3 linked regions of the Coturnix japonica genome follow. The protein of the gene in region 1 interacts with the protein of each later gene in a biochemical or structural test. Links are inferred from orthologs where the notes say so. Each region holds a gene or a part of one and is shown in the gene's direction. Other genes may lie near its edges.

The links.
Region 2: the proteins of BMPR1B (region 1) and GDF5 interact in a biophysical measurement, tested with the Homo sapiens proteins (3 studies listed by BioGRID and IntAct, with this or other methods). The link is inferred for Coturnix japonica from reciprocal best matches to the Homo sapiens genes BMPR1B and GDF5.
Region 3: the proteins of BMPR1B (region 1) and BMP2 form a complex in vitro, tested with the Homo sapiens proteins (3 studies listed by BioGRID and IntAct, with this or other methods). The link is inferred for Coturnix japonica from reciprocal best matches to the Homo sapiens genes BMPR1B and BMP2.

What each region holds. Positions count from the first base shown.
Region 1 is NC_029519.1:52,645,954-52,649,453, forward strand, and holds part of BMPR1B (bone morphogenetic protein receptor type-1B), read left to right. Parts: intron 1-698; coding exon 699-795; intron 796-1,574; coding exon 1,575-1,713; intron 1,714-3,500. UniProt on the Homo sapiens protein: On ligand binding, forms a receptor complex consisting of two type II and two type I transmembrane serine/threonine kinases.
Region 2 is NC_029535.1:1,102,732-1,107,002, forward strand, and holds the start of GDF5 (growth/differentiation factor 5), read left to right. Parts: upstream 1-1,471; 5' UTR 1,472-2,805; coding exon 2,806-3,439; intron 3,440-4,271. UniProt on the Homo sapiens protein: Growth factor involved in bone and cartilage formation. During cartilage development regulates differentiation of chondrogenic tissue through two pathways.
Region 3 is NC_029518.1:13,152,279-13,156,375, reverse strand, and holds the start of BMP2 (bone morphogenetic protein 2), read left to right. Parts: upstream 1-1,297; 5' UTR 1,298-1,730; intron 1,731-2,390; 5' UTR 2,391-2,397; coding exon 2,398-2,731; intron 2,732-4,097. UniProt on the Homo sapiens protein: Growth factor of the TGF-beta superfamily that plays essential roles in many developmental processes, including cardiogenesis, neurogenesis, and osteogenesis. Induces cartilage and bone formation.

The sequences.
Region 1 (3,500 bases):
AGGAAAGAAATGCCCACTTAAGTGTTTAAACAGGATCAGAGGGGTGGATTATTCTGCAGTGCTGGAAATATGCCGACAAAGCCTTTAGTGGTTTGCCTTCTCAGGGGTTGGGTGGTCTACTCTTTTTCCCTACTAGGATAAACACAATTATTTATTTGTTACATTAACTGCGATCAGATGCCAGCGATTTAAGATACAGATTTAAGATCTTTTCATGTCCTCACTGATCACATAGGTTAAGATACAAAGCAACGAGTCCTGGTGTGATTTTCCTAATTGATTTCATTCAGAGTCAAACAGTGATTTGCAAATCCATGCTTTGACAGAGTAAGTACTTTATCAGCACCTGGGTTCCTGTGGGTGCTGGTTCTGCCCTGCTGGTGAGGCCCAATGAGGATGCGCACAAAACCCCAGTGAAATCCATAGGCATCGTGTTCAGAGCTGTAGTAGAATCACAGAGTCAGAATCACTGAATGATTTGGGATTGGAAGAGGCCTTAAAGACCATCTATCTCCAACCCCCCTGCTATGGGCAGGGACAGTCCAAAGCTCCATCTAGCCTGGATTTGCACCTCCAGGGATGGGGCATCCACAGCTTCATCAACCTTTTGTTCGGTGTGCATTTTTTCACACTGACTTTGTACCATCTCCCTTTCCAAATTTTCTCACTTTCCTCCTGCTGCTCTGTTTTATCTCCAGACTTTGCTGAAGGAAACATTCACCATAAGGCCCTGCTGATCTCGGTGACTGTCTGTAGTATACTTCTGGTGCTTATCATCATATTCTGCTACTTCAGGTAAATAAGGAGCACTTTATCAGCTCGTTAGCATTCTTCCTAACTTTTTTTCTTTTTGTGGACTCAAAATTTTGAAATATTTAAGATGAACCTCATGGGGAAAGAAAAAAAGAAAAAAGGAAAAAGATGTAATTTTATCATGTGAAAAGAATGTGTATTTTGTTCATGTTAATCACAGACATACCTCAGTGATGAATCCCATGTATTATCTTTCACCCAGCATCATAAGAAGCCTTTTGGTTTGAAGCACAGATTGCTCTTTAGTGAAGCTGAGAATGTCACAGGACAAAGTTTATACAGAAAAACAACAAAAGCCTAAGGCTTCTTAGTGTGTTTAAGTGATGAGAAACTGATCTTAAAAAAGAGGGAAATACAGGAATGAAAGTGTATCTAGAGTATTATCATAATCTACATACGTTCAAAACATTTTTTGCGTTTTTTAAATACTCCCGGGTCCCACAGCTGTTCCTTCTTTTACTTTTAAAAGACTGCAGTTGGTAAAATAAAAGCACATATTTATTTGGGCTGTGTTTTAAGGTGCTGAAAGAAAAGCATCTCCTAGCTTTGCAAGCTCATAGCATGCGGGGCACAGTCTTTGAGTTTTATACTTAAAAGTTTGATGCTGAAAACGGTTTGTTAGTAATAAAACTGAAAATATTGGTCTAAGAAGCCGAGGAAGCCATTTGTCTCTATATGAGGCTGATGTGGAGGATAACATTCTTTACTCTTTGTACCCCTGCTCACTACGTTGGAAGCTAACGTTGGTGTACAAACGGCAGGTATAAGCGGCAGGAAGCTAGGCCCCGCTACAGCATCGGGCTGGAGCAGGACGAGACCTACATTCCCCCTGGAGAGTCCCTGAAGGATCTGATCGAGCAGTCCCAGAGCTCAGGCAGCGGTTCCGGGCTCCCTCTCCTGGTAAGGAAACAACATTATCTGAATGTCAATTCACTAGGAAAAAATGAGTAAAAGGAGAAACAAAACGGTGCACAAGAAATGGTGTTGCTTTTAAATGTTTGAAAGGAGGCATTGTGTCTTTAAGTGTCTTTAAGGTTTGTCTTTTATTTATTATTATTATTTATTTTCTCCTAGAATTGACAAGGATTTAAGCTGACAAACCCCTGCATTAGAATCAAGTGAGGTTTTTTTGTCTTTTTTTTTTTCTTTTTTTTTTTTTTTTTTCTCCTCATGTATACTCAGCCAAAAATCTTAGTTGTTCTCTTTTGTTTTCTTTTTAATTCCTCTCTTAACTGAGAATACCACGAAGGAAATAGAGACCAACAGAGACCACAGAAATTTATCAGGATTTACCCCAGTGCAAATGACAGCGTTTAGCCTGCAGTCTTATTTTCTCACTTTTTATGTGCAACACACAATAGCTTTTCCAACACTGACACGTAGGCTTTATGTGAAAGAAATTGCAATTCATCGAGTGCGGAACCTTTTTATGTGCAGACTTCACTTTGCATTCAGAAGTCAAGAATGAATTATTTTACCTTGTACTGAGGTAATCTCAAAGGTTAAAGGCATGGGGATGGAGTGAGCTTTACCATTATTTCTGAACTGACTGCAGGATGACTGAACCCCCTCAGCTCACATGCCGAAAAGGCAATGCTTTACTTTCTGTAGCAAAACAATTCTGTTCAGCAGTCTGTGTTCTCAAGGGCCATTGTTGCTTTTTAGCACTGAAAGAACAGCACGAATTAGATTTTGTTTTCTTTCTTCAGAGATTATATGTCCCTAGTCTCTTCCAAACTGATTAGTTTGTAGCGGTCCTATTACTGGTGATGTTGCCCAATTTCCAAGTGCTGTCTATTGTTTATTTTTGCTCTCATGTCTTGTTTTCTAAACCTAAAATAGAAAAATAAATGGGAAACTTTATTTCCTTGAAATGAGGTGACAGGTTGAGTGGCTGGCTAAAAGTGGACACAGTTTGGTTGTGGATGTTCCATCCCTGGAGGTGTTCAAAGCCAGGTTGGATGGGCTCATTTTCTTTTGTTGAGGAAAAACTCCATCATTTACATTTAGGCTTTAGGAAAGCTCTGTCATGGAAAGGAATATATCATAGTTAATTTCAAGGATCATTCATAATGTTAGTTTCCAATTTATTTCGCTGTGAGGGATTCTTAATATTATTGGTTTGCTTTTTGTATGCCTTCCGCATCAAGGTCTTGCTCTGCACTTGTAACTACTCATTATAGTGGCAGAATTTGGGCTTGATGATTTTGAAGGTCTTTTCCAACCTAGTTGTTTCTATGGCTCTGTAAGAAATACTGCAATTAGAGCAAACACAAGGAACTTGGTCCTTTTTGTCTGAGAGGATGTGTTCCTAGCAGCCCACAAGGGTAGCAGGTGGCCTGGTCTATCTCGTAGCTGTTCACTGTGCAATACTTCATCCAAAGGATGCTCTTGGGACAAGAAAGCTGGAAAAACGCCTGGTTATGACAGTTCATGCTTTATGCCTTTCTCCATCTCAGGGAGCCTCAGCTGGTTGAAGGTGAAATCTCTGGTCTTACTGCTGTCCCTAGCTCTCTCTTTGCCTATGAAAACATATGCATCTTTCCTTGACTTTCCCTTTAAATCGTCATTTTCTGTGGAAGAGAAGAAAAATGAGAGCTACAGTGAAACTTGCCCGTAATAATAAATGTTCCCAGACTACAGCTACAACCACTACATGTTTGCTGGAAGTACACAGCTTAGTACCT
Region 2 (4,271 bases), on another chromosome or scaffold:
GTGGAAGCTGAATGTGAGGGAGGTGAATTCAGCTATGGCGGATTAAACATCAGATGGGCAGATCCACAGGAGCGCAGAGGTCTGACAGCGCTCACATCGCAGCACCGTGTTGGTGACAGGCGGGAGCCCCAGGGGCCAAGCTCCAGGAATAGCAGTTTGGCCAGAAGAATCTGGTTGAAATCACACAGGGGACAGGAATAACGGGTGGTGCCTCCTGAGAGCTGAAGGAGACCTGGGGCTTTGCTCAGAGCAGCTCACAGTAGCTCTGTCCCCATTGGCCCACCAGGGAAGTTCCCGCAGAGCTGCTCAGCATCTCCAGCTTCACACTCCTCCTGCTCCCATGTCCTGGTTGTGAGACTGATTCACCCCAGTTTGGTTCATTCTTTTACTTGTGACTGGCAGTATCAGTTGGTGTTCAATAAAAATGGAAAGTTACATTCATCTCAGATGTGTAAATACTGGGTGAGCATTTGACCAATTGTGCTGTTAGTCTGATTTACCATGAGACAAGGCCTATGGAGTCACACTGTCTCACCTTCTGCCCTTTCCTGTCCATCTGCCCAATCGTTTCTGTATCTGTGAATCTCAACCATGTTTGATGGAACAGGAGAGATCTTAAAGATACAGAACTCTTACCGGTGTTGTGAAAACTGGAGTACCCCAAAAGTGACGCCTCCTAGATAGGTTTCCATGCAAACCACAACAGATACAACACATACAGTAACACTGACAGAGCCAAACAGAGTGTTTGGGTGCTGGCTTTTCTACATGGAGGAATGTGATTCCATCCCTTTGCTCCATGTGCGACTCCATGTCAGATGCCATCCTATCAGGCTCTCCCTCTGCTGCCATCTGCCATATAACAGCAGAAAGGAACAGCGTGTGGGTGGGAAGGTTCAGTTTCTACTGCCATTCCTCCAACACCTGCCTCTGTCATCATGGGCCAACAGCATACAGTAGGAGGCATCACTTTCAGAGCATCCCTCATAGAATAAGAGCATGAACTCAGCACTTGGCTGTTTCTGTGGGCAGAACCAACACAGCACACCTGTCTGCCTGCAGGAAGGTGGATAATGAGGGTGGGAGGAAGGGACAGCATGGCTGAGGGTTATGGGGACAGCACGAAGGAACTGTTGGGGAAGGGGCCTGTTGGAAGTAACTCGTGGAAAAGCTGCTTTGTTTTGATGGGAAACATCAAACTGACTGCAGAGAAATGGCAATTAGGCCAAAATTGAGAGGGTGGGGTTTTTGTTCTCCCTCATTTGTGACATCTGTGCGGTCACTAAGCTGTTCTGCCCTTTGGTTCCTCCACTGGAATATGGTAAAGCATTCTAAGCGTGTCATATGGAAAGGGCTGCAGGTTGTTATTTATGAAAGTAATTTCATGTCAGAGTGGAAAATGCCGCAGCACGTCCAATTCAAGCTAAAATCGAGGCTGTTGTATCTATCCCCTTTATTCTTGCTTCAGGAATAAGTGACTGGGAGGGGAGGGCTGGGCTCAGCACAGCGCTGGATGAGAGAAGGGTCCCATTAATCCCCGTTCACTCCAGCCCAGTGCCTCATTTCCCCAAGGTTCATTCAGAACAACAACAGCTCATTTTTTTGTACTGCATGAAAGACACTCTCGCTCCGTGCTCCCCGGAGTACAGCTGACAGCAGCAGATACCCTTCCCACGTCAGCAGCTCCGGTTCCCTCCTCCCATCCTTCCCCTGTCTGTGGGCAGGGAGCTCTCCTACATTCGGGTTCACAAAAGCTCCGTCCCGGCTGCGCCCCGGCTCAGAGCAGCCCGAGCCGTGCTGCTGGCAGGAGCGGGGCCGCCTGCAGGGAGCAGTGCCTGCACAGCCTTCTCCTGCAGCTGGGTTACGCGGGTTTGTTCAAAGCGTAGCAATAAAAACACCAACATGCGATGACTGCGGGCACGGCGGTGCTGCGTTATACCAAATTCATCGCCTGCCTCGTTAGCTGAGTCGCTGGAGGGCAAAGCGAAGCCGCAGCTCCAGCAATAAGGAGCAGGACGGGGTTACGCACCGAGGCTTTCATGTGCGCGTTCCCGTGGGCCGCAGGACGGGTCCCGGCTGTCCGTCTCGCAGTTTGTCCCATTTAAACGTGAAGTTGATGGAAGGCGAAAGGAGAGGTTGTGCCGCCGCTCCAAAACGCGTCCTCTGGAGCCCTGAGCCCGCGGAGCTGTTTCACATGAGGCAGGGAATGAGTCATGCTCATGAAAAGGGCAAAGAAGATTTTTTTTTAAAGAAATATATCGCAGTTAAATTAGTTTAGACAGCATGACATCAGAGAGTAATTAAATCGGTTTGTTGGAATTCCGTTTCCAATTCCTGAGCTCAGGTTTGTAAAAGATTTCTGAGCACCTGCAGGTCTCTGTGTGTGAAATATTTTCACTGGAAAGGATTCAAAACGTTAAAAAAAAAAAAAACAGCCCTTTTAACACAGAGGCAGCATTACGCCATTCTTCCTTCTCGGAAAAAAAACCCCTCCGATTTAAACAGGACTCCTTCAACTTTTCAGTCAGTTTTACAGAAGAAAACGAGGTGGTAAACTTTCTCTTTTCAAGAACGAGCCCTTTACAGCCACGAACTGAAGTCAGGGGAGAGCGCGTCTGAGAGCAGGAGCATTTCCACTATGGGACTGGATACGAGCACTGAACAACCAGATTTGCAATGTTTTAATCTCGATCGAAAACCACTTTTGCTGACTTTGGTTTTTAATTTCTTTCATGTTTTCTTCTGCCAAACTGGAGGAACCTTCCCTGATTTTTTCTTTAGCGGCATTCAGAGGAAGACCAGAGGATGAAAATCCTGCATTTTCTCACTTTACTGCTTTGGCATTTGACTTGGCTGTCTCTGGATCTAGTTCCTGGAGCACTGAGCAATTCTGAAGCAGGCCAGAGTAATCCGGGGTCTAAAACAGATTTGTTAAAAGCAGAAGGAAAGGAGAGGACTCCCTCAGCACGGGCAGGCACGCCACGGGCTGCGAACCATGGATTTAGCACCGGGACCTCGAAGGCAAGGACTAAAAGCAATGCTGCTCAGCCTGGAGCTCTGCTGGCCAAGAACGACGAATCACAGAGGGTTCTTTCAAGAGCAGCTGCCTCAGAGGCAAAGGTAGGACATCTCCCGAGCAGACCTTCTGGAGTAAGGACGGTGACTCCAAAGGTCCCAAATCTTAGCAGCAAGACGGCTTTGAAAAAACCCAGCACGAGCAGTGCTGATAGCAGCGCTTTCAAAACGAAAAAGACTAAAGAGCCTGTCACCCAAAGGGAAGCTAAGGAAGCTTTCAGACAGCCCCCTATAACGCCACATGAATACATGCTCTCTTTGTACAGGACTCTCTCAGACGCAGAAAGAAAAGGTGTTAATGGAAGTGTAAAACTGGAGGCTGGACTTGCCAATACAATAACCAGCTTTATAGACAAAGGACAAGGTAAGAGGGGAGCTCACGTGTGTGTGGACAGAGGGACATCTGAGCACGAGCATTACTAGAACATAACTGTATGTTGTTAAAGGCAGAAAGCTCTTTCTAATGAGAATGAAATTGTAGGTTTTGTCCTTATCTTGGCAGATTCCTCTAGAGGCAGAAATAGATGGTAGCATGGCAGCCAAGCAAAACATTAGAATATTTCAGGTGCATATTTCTGAAAATCCATTAGTCCTTGAGGGTTTAGTTGTTCAGAAACTTTCACGTTTTGATCTTATGCTATTTCAGTAGGAAGATCCTGGATACTGTTGCTTGATTTTATTGCTAAGTGTGTCTGAAAACACATTCTCTGCTGAGAAAGGGGCTGTTCTGCGGAAAAACACACGTTTCAGTGTTGGAGGTCACCCCAGTTTGTCCAAGGATGAGCTGGGAGGAACTACAATGTAGACCCAGGAGTCATTATAGAGTGGCGCTGGTGTACCTGTATGAGCTTGAATCTCATGCTTTCAGACACTACCAGCCTTCTAACCACAGAAGCTCACAGCTAAACATGGGCTAATGAGTGTAAATAACTTCTGGGACTCCCTAATTTGCGGTTCAGTGTTATGGTTCCAAATTTATTGGAAATTTGGCCTAGTGTCTGCTCTCACACAACACATAACCAAAGAAAGATGTTCACCTTGCCGTCCCAGTGGGAGGCTTATCTCCATGTTGCTTCTGGTGACGTTAATGAGAGCTTTGGTCATGGAATTAAGGAAGCAACACAGGCCACAGCTAATTACATAATAGTGATTGAAGACTCAGCCAGGACTGGGTTTGTTTGCTGTTTAATCAAGAA
Region 3 (4,097 bases), on another chromosome or scaffold:
TACATAATGGGCACAGCATCACACTGCTTTCACCTTGGTCGTGAAGAGGACTCGCAGGGAGTCATAAAACTAAACTTTATTTGTACTGAAATGCAACAGAAAAGTTACAGAACTTTTGAGGGCCTTCACACGAGGGTCAGCTGAGGGGGCGTGGGGAGCAGCTGGGTGCACAGTGCTGGTTAGTCCCTGCTGGGCACTGTCCCATGGCACAGCTGCGGCTCACAAGGCGGCAGGAGAAGGGACCTGCCCCAGTGCAGATGCTGCGTCGTGCCCTAAGTCAAGATGGAGGGAGAAGGCCACTCCCAAAGGAGGAGCTGGGAATGGAGGTGTCAAGGTTGTTATTGCTTTAGATTCTCATCCGCAGTGTTTTACATTTGGCTGTAGCTTCTTTGCAGATGAAGTCCCTGAGGGGCGTTTGTGACCCCTGCGGAGGGGCCGCGTCCCACACAGGCGAACGAAAGCCGGGGTAGCGGCCAACCCCGACCCCGAGCGCGGAGCCGCGTCGAGGCGCAGAGCGGCACAGGGGAGCGGGCAGGTGCGGAGCGGGGCAGCGGGCGGGGAGCGCCGCTCCGCCGCCACTGGGGGGCAGCCACGGCTCAGGAACGCGAGCGGCCGCGCGGGTCGGGCCGGGGCCGGGGCACGGGGCAGCGTCCCGGGTGATCCCGGAGCGCCCCGACGGCGGCTGAGCGGGGAGAGCGGCTCCCAACCCGCGGCCGGGCACGGCGGCGGTACGGTGCGGGACGGGACGGGACGGGGCGGGCCGGGAGCCGCTCGGCAAGTCGGGAGCGACGCCGGGGGCTCGGGGTCCGGTCCCATCGCGCGACCCGGCGCTCGGTCACTGTGCGGGGAGCGGCGGGACGGTCCCGTGCGGGCGGACGGACGGACACACAGACTGGCCAGAGCCCGGCGCGGTGCGTCCGGGCGAGGCAGGGAACGGGCGAAGGAGGAGGAGGGAGAGAAGCGGCGAGGGAGGGAGAGACGGAGGGAGGCGGCGTCTCCTTTAAAAGCCGTGCGGGGCCGCGGCCCGCTCCCACAGGGCGGCTGTGATTGGCGCGGGCCCGCGAGCCTCCGGGGTCGTGACATCGGAGCGCAACAAAAAGCCGCGGCCGCGTTCGGCCGCCCCCGTGCATGGTGCGGCGCGGGCGGGACGGGTGCGCGCTCGCAGCGCTGTCCCCACCGGTGCTCACACCCTCCGGAGGGGTTTTGTTGGTGGATATTTTTTGTAATGTAGCTTTTTATTTCGTTCTCCTCCTCGGTTGGGTTTTTCCTTTTTTTTTTTTTTTTTTTTTTNTTTTTTTTTTTTTTCTTTTAAAGGCGCGGAGCAAAGCGAAGCCCAGCTCCCATCTCCATGTCGCTGCGGGATTCCCGGTAAATAGCCGCCCGTGCGCTGCGGGTGATGCGCAGGACGCTCGCGGAAGGCGCCGTTCCGCTCCGTAACGCGTAGCACCCACTCGCGGGCGGGCAGCGCGCACCGAGAGGAGAACGGAAAGGAAACACCGACTTTGCGACCGGCGCTTTGCGAAAGGAGAAGCGCGGACTTTCCTCCTGCCTCCCGCCCGCCCGCCCGAGGCATGTTCCCGAGGCGCTCCGCACCGCGGGCAGCTCCCGTTTTCCGCCCGGCAGCCGCAGAGGAGCAGCAGCAGCGCGGTTCGGAGTAACTCCAAGTGATGCGGGGACCACAGCCCGAGAGCAGCACGCGCTCCCGCAGACGCCAGCCCCGCCGCACTCAGGTACGGCCCCGCGGCCGCCGATCGCCGTCTCCGCAGGATGACTCCGTGCAACACCGGGGGGACGGGACGGAGAGCGGGTAGCGAGCCTTAACCCCGCGCCGAGTTTGGCGGGGGAGAAGAGCGTCCCGCGGCTCCTGCTCGAGCGCGAGCGGCTTTTATTTTTTTTTTCCTTTTTTTTACTTTTTTTTTTTCATCTTTTTCTTTTTTTTTTTTTCCCTCTTCATTCCACGCCGGGATAGCGGGGCCCTCCTCCCTGTGACCGGGGAAGCCGCGGCTGGAATAGCCTGCCCCGGGCACGGCCGGGAGGTCCCTCTCCCACCGCCCCGTCCCTCTCCGCCCCCCGTTCCCTCTGCGGGAGGCCGTGGCCGCACGCACCTGCGCCCGCCGAGGGCGGCTCTCCGGCCACCCGCGCCCCTTCCCCTCGCCCCCCACCCCCGCTGCCCGGCCCGCCCGGCTCCTTTTGATCCCCCGCCGCGGGGATTTGGTGCCGCCGCGCACCTGAGCCCCGACGGGGCCCCCCCGGCCGCGCCGTCCCGCTGTCCGCTCGCCATGGGCCGGCAGCCACCTGCGGAGTGGCCCCGGCTGCCCCCCGCTTCGCGGCGCGCTCCCCCGGCGCGGTGCCCGCGCTGACCGCCTCCCATCGCCTCCTCCTCCGCGCAGGTCGACCATGGTTGCCGCCACCCGCTCCCTCCTGGCGCTGCTGCTCTGCCGGGTGCTGCTGGGCGGCGCGGCCGGCCTCATGCCGGAGGTGGGACGGCGGCGCTTCAGCGAACCGGGCCGCTCCGCCTCGGCCGCGCAGCGCCCCGAGGACCTCCTGGGAGAGTTCGAGCTGCGCCTGCTTCACATGTTTGGGCTGAAGCGGCGGCCCAGCCCCGGCAAGGACGTCGTCATCCCCCCCTACATGCTGGACCTCTACCGTCTGCACGCCGGCCAGCAGCTGGGCTACCCGCTGGAGAGGGCCGCCAGCCGCGCCAACACCGTGCGCAGCTTCCACCACGAAGGTAGGGGCCGAGGGACGGGCGGAGGGGAGCGGGAGGAGTGCGAGGGTGGGACGGAGGAGGGGCGGCGGGGCGGGCTCCGAGCTTCGGAGGGGGTCGCGGCTGCGTTTCCAGAGCCCACCGCGGGCTCCGGGGCCGCCGGTGTGAGGCTCTCGCCGCGCTCTGCCGGCCGCGAACGGAGCTTTCTTTGGGCGAGGCGGAACGCGAAGGAAAGCTTCCCCCGAGCCGCGGCGAAGGTTCCTAATCCCTTATCTAAATCCCCGTGGGAGATAGGCGAAGCGGGCCGGAGCGGCCTTCCCCCGGCCGCCGTCGAGCCGGAGGAGTCGCGAAGCTCGGGGCCGTGCCGCCCGGCTGGAGGTAGCGCTCCGGGGTGGAGGTAGCGCTCCGGGCTGGGGCTCCGGCTGCTGGCTGCCCGTCCGGGGGCCGTACCCAGCGAGCGGCTCACACGGCCGAGATCGCAGCCGCGTGGTCCCGCAGAGCCGTCGGTGCTTGCCGCTGCCCCGCTCTGCAGGAAGCTTTATCCCGGGATGGAACCTGCCCTGGCCATAGTCTCTGGCGCTGGCACACGGCGGCTCTGCTTTAAAGGGAATGGAAAAGCGGTCGCCCCGCGCTCTTCAGGTGGAACAGCTGAGAAAAGAAACGCGCTTAGATTTAATGGTTCTGCTGGACGGAGGTGGCCCCGGTGCCGTTTAGTGGGAAGTGAGATCAGTGGTGAAATGTCACTCTCTCTGTAGCGGGGAAGTAAACAGCAGCAGCGCGTGGCTCGTTCCTTTTAAGCCCGTACGTGGCAGGCGAGGTGCTGAGCAGGACAGGAGCCGAGGGGCACGGAGTGTAACTTGTAGGCAAACAGAGCAGCGTTGGAAGCGGTGGTGTTGCAACAAAGTCTTTGACATGGAAGGCTGTCCTCCGGTTTTCACAAACTTGAGACGAAAATCAACGTGACTCCGTTTTTCCATTGAGTTCTCACTGTTGGTTCGTGACTTCATGAGAGCAGGAGGCTGTGCCGGGAGCGCTCGCACATCTGCATATTTACAAACGCCGGGCTGGTCCCGAAGCGCTGCAGAGCTGAGCCCTGCCTGATGCGGGAAGTCGGGCTGGAGCCAGCAGGGAATGGCACGGGGCTGAGAACTGCTCACGTCAGTGCCAGCTTCCCTTCAGAAAGTGAACGGATCCCCGGGATGCTGAGTAGCAAAAAGAAAACCCAGGATTTCAGAGGGATTATTGTGGGCAAACGCTATTTCTTCCGTGTCTGCAGCAGAAACTTACAGTGTAGCAGCCCTAGATACATAGTACTCCCCCTGAAGTTCCATTCCAGTGTCTGTTGGCTGAAAGGGAAAGATGGCACGGGGCTCAGGGGCTGGTTTGGTTG